Macaca mulatta: one gene and its partner. The protein of the gene in region 1 purifies or fractionates together with the protein of each later gene. This does not show direct contact. Links are inferred from orthologs where the notes say so. Each region holds a gene or a part of one and is shown on either strand. Other genes may lie near its edges.

Region 1 (2,369 bases):
AAACCCCGTTTCTACTAAAAATACAAAAAATTAGCTGGGTGTGGTGGCGGGCGCCTGTAGTCCCAGCTACTCAGGAGGCTGAGGCAGGAGAATGGCGTGAACCCGGGAGGCAGAGGTTGCAGTGAGCCGAGATTGCGCCACTGTACTCCAGCCTGGGCGACAGAGCCAGACTTTGTCTCAAAAAAAAAAAAAAAGTCTTTTTTTAAGACTGGGCACAGTGGCTCATGCCTGTAATTCCAGCTCTTTGGGAGGCCGGGGTGGGCAGATCACGTGGTCAGGAGTTCGAGACCAGTCTGGCCAAACTGGTGAAACCCCCATCTCTACTAAAAAATTAGCTGGGTGTGGTGGTGGGCACCTGTAGTCCCAGCCACTCAGGAGGCTGAGGCAGGAGAATCGCTTGAACCCAGGAGATGGAGGTTGCAGTGAGCTGAGATCATACCATTGCAGCCCAGCCTGGGCGACTGACAAGAGTAAAACTGTTGCAAAACAAGAAAAAAAAAGTCTTTAAGCTGAATTTGAATACTCTTTACTTACTATATGTATGCCACACTATTAGCTAAAAGGACTGTTTTTTCTTTTTGCTAGGAGCCGGTGAAACCTGAAGAAGGCAGAGATATGGCAAACAGGATTGGTGCTTTTGGGTACATGGAGTGTTCAGCAAAGACCAAAGATGGAGTGAGAGAGGTTTTTGAAATGGCTACGAGAGCTGCTCTGCAAGCTAGACGTGGGAAGAAAAAATCTGGGTGCCTTGTCTTGTGAAACCTTGCTGCAAGCACAGCCCTTATGCGGTTAATTTTGAAGTGCTGTTTATTAATCTTAGTGTATGATTACTGGCCTTTTTCATTTATCTATAATTTACCTAAGATTACAAATCAGAAGTCATCTTGCTACCAGTATTTAGAAGCCAACTATGATTATTAATGATGTCCAACCCGTCTGGCCCACCAGGGTCCTTTTGACACTGCTCTAACAGCCCTCCTCTGCACTCCCACCTGACACACCAGGCGCTAATTCAAGGAATTTCTTAACTTCTTGCTTCTTTCTAGAAAGAGAAACAGTTGGTAACTTTTGTGAATTAGGCTGTAACTACTTTATAACTAACATGTCCTGCCTATTATCTGTCAGCTGCAAGGTACTCTGGTGAGTCACCACTTCAGGGCTTTACTCATTAACAGATTTTGTTGGCATAGCTCTGGGGTGGGCAGTTTTTTGAAAATGGGCTCAACCAGAAAAGCCCAAGTTCATGCAGCTGTGGCAGAGTTACAGTTCTGTGGTTTCATGTTAGTTACCTTATAGTTACTGTGTAATTAGTGCCACTTAATGTATGTTACCAAAAATAAATATATCTACCCCAGACTAGATGTAGTATTTTTTGTATAATTGGATTTCCTAATACTGATATTTGTCATCCCCAAAGAAAGTGTATTGGTTTTTTAAAAAAGAAAGTGTATTTGGAAATAAAGTCAGATGGAAAATTCATTTTTTAAATTCCCGTTTTGTCACTTTTTCTGATAAAAGATGGCCATATTACCCCTTTTCGGCCCCATGTATCTCAGTACCCCTATCTGGAGCTGGGCTAAGTAAATAGGAATTGGTTTCACGCCTGAGGCAATTAGACACTTTGGAAGGTGGCATAACCTGTCTCACCTGGACTTCAGCATCTGGCTCTAATTCACAGTGCTCTTCTCCTCACTGTATCCAGGTTCCCTCCCAGAGGAGCCACCAGTTCTCATAGGTGGCACTCAGTCTCTCTTCTCTCCAGCTGACTAAACTTTTTTTCTGTACCAGTTAATTTTTCCAACTACTAATAGAATAAAGGCAGTTTTCTAAACTTCGTGTATCCTGTTGTTTGTGTTGCTCTCTCCAGGGCTGGGGGCAGGAGGATGCAAGGACTTCCTGGCCTAGCTCACCCTGGAGAGGTTTGTTCAGGGTGCAAAAGACTAGGTTGTGCCCCACCTCCCACCTACCCAGCAGCTAATCTGGTCCCTCCCAACAACATGGAAATGATTACCCTGTACCGCATTCTAGTTCAGATTTGGGGGGAGGGTGAATGCAGCCTACTGAGGAGGCCAGAGAGGGAGGACTCAGGCCGCGTTTCCTTGGCCCTGACGAGCTCTTGGGCTCCACTTCAGGAAGCTGGGGCAGAGCTTCCAGGACTCTGCCCTGTTAGAAAACCCGCGCAAGGGCGGTGCCGCTTTGGAGACAGGGAGGAGGGAGACCGGAAGCCCATATCCCTCTGGCTGTCCCCTGCACTGCCGGTAACATGGCACAGGAGAGGAGGGCTGTTTGCGCACCGGCAGCTGCTGCCGCCGCCCACCAGCCTTCTATGCCGAACCCCACATCCTAATTGAGGAGCCTTTGAGAAAGAA
Region 2 (4,010 bases), on another chromosome or scaffold:
GGGAATGTGGTCCCATTCTTGGGATTAGGGATGGGAGGGCTGATGCAGAGTGACGGCAGAACCTCACATTGGTCACGCATTCCGGGTCTTTGTTGTCATAGAAGTTACACTTGTTTTGAGAGCAGCAGTGGGTCTGGAGAGAAGACCAAAGCCTGTAGGAGATGAGAGTGAAAAGTGCATCAGCCTCTGGTGGGAAGAGGAGGGCAGAGGAGGCGAGCATACCCCCACCTCCCACCAACCTCCCTGACCCTAGGAGACTAGGAAAGGTATCACAGGGTATGGTCTGCACGTCACCTAAGCTAGCTCCCAAAGAGGTGCCCCAGGGTCATACAGACAGGCCTCCTTAGTTCCTTTAAAATCTGATCTCTGGCTGGGCGCCGTGGCTCACGCCTGTAATCCCAGCACTTTGGGAAGCCAAGGCGGGCAGATCATTTGAGGCCAGGAGTTCGCGTCTAGCCTGGCCAACAGCAAAATGCCATCTGTACTAAAAATACAAAAAAATTAAGCAGGTGTGGTGGTACGTGCCTGTAGTCCCAGCTGCTTGGGATGCTGAGGCACAAGAATTGCTTGAACCTGGGAGGTGGAGGTTACAGTGAGCTAAGATCGCGCCACTGCACTCTAGCCTGGATGACAAAGTGAGACTCTGTCTCAAAAAAAAAAAAAAGAAAAAAAAGAAAAATCTGATCTCTATTCTTTGGCCTTTCAGCACTGTGTTCTTTCTGCAACCCACCTGCTGCTCATAAACCTGGGCTGGGCCTGTCATATCATGTGCCTGGAGGACAGACTCGAGATCATGTGACCCTAGAGATTGCCCAATTGCCCTATCCCATACCTGTTCCCCAGAAGGCCATGGTAGTAGGCAAAGTAGACCAGGGAGTTGTCATTCTGCTCATAGGAGGAGAGTCCATTGCCCACAGCCAGCCCCTGTGAAACACCCAGGGTGCTCAGCTCATGTGGAGGGCGAAGAGGAGGAGCCTCCCTCACCCTAACACCCAGACCTTCAGCAATCCGGAAGCTGAAACCCAGGGTGGTTTATGGGGGCGGTTGGGTGTGGAAAGTCACTCAATGCAAAGCACAGAGCTGGCAGCCTGACAGATGAGTTTCCTGTTGTGGGAGGCACACTAGACAGACCTAGGGCAGCTGGTGGTGGGGAGGGTATGCAGGGAGCTGGGTTGGATGGGGCTGTTGACCAGTCTGACCTTGCTAACTGCAAGGCCACAGCCTCAAGGTGCCTCCCTTCCCTCCTGCAGCTGCCCTGCACCTGAAGGTTCATGCTGGGGTCCTGCATGACCAGCACGGCCAGGGTGGGGATGTAGATGCCAGCATAGCTCTCCCCGGTCAGGAAAAGTTTGTTGTTCTTATACTCCGGAAAGAGGTGGAAGAAATCTTGAAGGGCCTCAAAATTGCTCTGGGCGACCTGGGGATGGGGGAGCAAGACAGAGGGAATCAGGAAGCTTTGGTATTTGAACTGGAAAGAACTTCAGAGATAATGACATCAACCCACCCTGTCTGTGTAAGAGGAAGTGACTGGCCACCATACCACAAGCATATGACAGAGCGAAAAGTGGACTCCAAGGCCATGCTCTCTCTCCCAGCATCATGCCATGGATGGAGGACTGGGGAGCCTGGGGCAGATGGGCAGGCACCAGACTCACCTCAGTGTCATTAGTTGCATAAAACTTGTCATCAGAGTAGGAGAAGCCCACCCCAGCTGGGGACTCCAGGTATAACACATTAGCAATCTAGAAGGGAGGGAAAAATTAGTCAACTGCCACTCCATCCAAGTGCCCAGACACCCCCACAGGACCCACAGCTCCAGCTATACCAGATTCCAAGAATAGGGGTTGTACTCCAGGGTGACACCATCTGGCTGGACCTGAGGAGGAAAGAGATGGCTGAGTAAGTCCCAAGGGCCAGCTGGGTGGAAGGAAAGGGCCACCGTGAGAGGCACTTTACATGTGGGCAAAACCCCTGAGAGGTACAAGCAGCAAAGCCAATGGCATAGAGGAAAATCCCAAGACTTAGAAGGAAGGAAACTTTCTGGTAAATCACAAAGTCCGTTTCTCCCTTTCCCCAGCCTTTTGCTTTAGGAACTGTGCTTTACCCCTGCTGTCCACTCACCAGGAAGGGGCCATGCTCTGTGAGGAGCCCATCTAGGGAGCTGCAGCCGGGACCCCCATTGAGCCAAAGCACCACAGGGCTGTTCTCGGGATCCTTCTGGGACTCCACAAACCTGGGAAGGGGTGTCAGGGCAGTGTTGGTGCAGTTGCAGGGGTCCTTTCCGGCCCTCCCGGCTCCCAGGCGTCCTCAGGGGTCTGCAGAACTACCCCCCACCCCTCATCCGTCATCTCTCCTCCCAGTCCCGCCCGGGAGGCAGGGCGGCAGACCAGTAGTGGAGGTGCTTGGAGCCGGAGCCTTTGAGGTAGCCGGAGTACTGGCGGAAGGACGGCTGCTTGGCCAGCCCGGGGAGGCGCTGGATCTCGTCCTGGTCCGGGGCTGCCTCGCCTCGGGGCGCCCAGGACACTAGCAGCAGCAGCAGGAACAGCAGCGGCGGCGCGGCTCGGATCATCTACGGGAGGCAGAAGAGGGGCTGTTGCCTCGCTCCTCAGCGCTTCCGTGAAGCAGCACCCGGGGAGGAGCTGGCGGCGCCTCCGCGAGGGAAGCCCCGGCCCCAGCGCCAGCTCCCACCCTCAAGCTTCCTCTACCGCGCACCGATCCCGGGCTCGGGGATCCCCTCCAGCCTCCGGTGCCAGCTCACCTCTGCTCCCCCGTGTCCTTGCTCTCCAGGAGGCGCCCGGGGACTGGAAGTCATGTGTACTCCGAGTCACGTGAACTCCGGCGCCACGTGACAGTCTTCCTCCCGCCCCTTCTTTGGTCCCTACCGGCCTGGGGGGCGGTGGCGGTCAATGCCAGGTCAAGGTCCGCGGGCCTCGCGGATCGTAGCCCGGGAGCACGCGATCAGATGATCCGGGTGTGGATGGCCAAGTTCTAGGAGGGATGGCTGAGCAAGCGGCGCTAGGACCCCCGGGCAGAGGCTCGGGGAAGGGAGGCAGGGGGGAAATGCCTTACAAGGTCCCCTTGCGGTCACCATCTGAGCCCGCCGCCCAAAATAGCCCCCGGCGCCCGCCAGCCTGCCTTATGGCGGAGAGATGGCTGCTGCCTCCGAGCCCGTGGATTCGGGTGCACTCTGGGGACCTGCGCGCCCGGAGCCCCCTCCCACCCGCTTCCATTGGGTGCACGGTGACAACATCCGCGTGGACCCCTCTGGGACGCGGGCCACACGCGTGGAGAGCTTCGCCCACGGCGTGTGCTTCAGCCGTGAGCCCCTGGCCCCGGGCCAAGTCTTCCTGGTCGAGATCGAAGAGAAAGAGCTGGGCTGGTGCGGACATCTGCGTCTCGGTCTGACGGCGCTGGACCCCGCCAGTCTGGCCCCCGTTCCCGAGTTTTCTCTGCCCGACCTAGTCAACCTGGGCCACACCTGGGTCTTCGCCATCACGCGCCACCACAACCGCGTGCCCCGGGAGGGCCGCCCGGAGGCCGAGGCAGCGGCCCCCAGCCGACCTCCAACCCTCCTGGTGGAACCATATCTGCGCATTGAGCAGTTTCGCATTCCCCGGGACCGCCTGGTGGGCCGCAGTCGGCCAGGGCTCTACAGCCATCTCTTGGACCAGCTCTATGAGCTGAACGTGCTGCCTCCGACGGCGCGCCGTAGCCGCCTGGGCGTCCTCTTCTGCCCGCGCCCCGATGGCACGGCCGACATGCACATCATCATCAACGGCGAGGACATGGGCCCCAGCGCCCGGGGGCTGCCAGCTGCGCAGCCCCTCTACGCGGTGGTGGACGTGTTTGCTTCCACCAAGAGCGTGCGCCTTGTCCAGCTCGAGTATGGCTGTAGGTATCCCTGGGCAGCGACCCCTCCTGGCGCAATGTGGGGACAGGAATCTGCTAGGGCTCGTAACCAGTGTGCTAGGCCTCCGTCTGTCCAGCACTAGTTTAAGAGTGGGAGAATC

The links. Proteins that work in one complex are often made in the same cells at the same time.
Region 2: the proteins of RHOA (region 1) and CTSA purify together in Homo sapiens (co-immunoprecipitation; 4 studies listed by BioGRID and IntAct, counting the BioPlex papers as one, with this or other methods). This does not show direct contact. The link is inferred for Macaca mulatta from reciprocal best matches to the Homo sapiens genes RHOA and CTSA.

The regions. Positions count from the first base shown.
Region 1 is NC_133407.1:112,801,262-112,803,630, reverse strand, and holds the end of RHOA (transforming protein RhoA), read left to right. Parts: intron 1-375; exon of another isoform or gene 376-585; coding exon 586-759; 3' UTR 760-1,831; downstream 1,832-2,369. UniProt on the Homo sapiens protein: Small GTPase which cycles between an active GTP-bound and an inactive GDP-bound state.
Region 2 is NC_133415.1:98,684,278-98,688,287, reverse strand, and holds the start of CTSA (lysosomal protective protein precursor), read right to left. Parts: upstream 2,802-4,010; 5' UTR 2,759-2,801; exon of another isoform or gene 2,689-2,758; intron 2,570-2,688; coding exon 2,388-2,569; intron 2,234-2,387; coding exon 2,122-2,233; intron 1,877-2,121; coding exon 1,826-1,876; intron 1,743-1,825; coding exon 1,656-1,742; intron 1,418-1,655; coding exon 1,262-1,417; intron 925-1,261; coding exon 833-924; intron 153-832; coding exon 68-152; intron 1-67. Other genes in the region: NEURL2 (neuralized-like protein 2), read left to right, coding at 3,150-3,891. UniProt on the Homo sapiens protein: Protective protein appears to be essential for both the activity of beta-galactosidase and neuraminidase, it associates with these enzymes and exerts a protective function necessary for their stability and activity.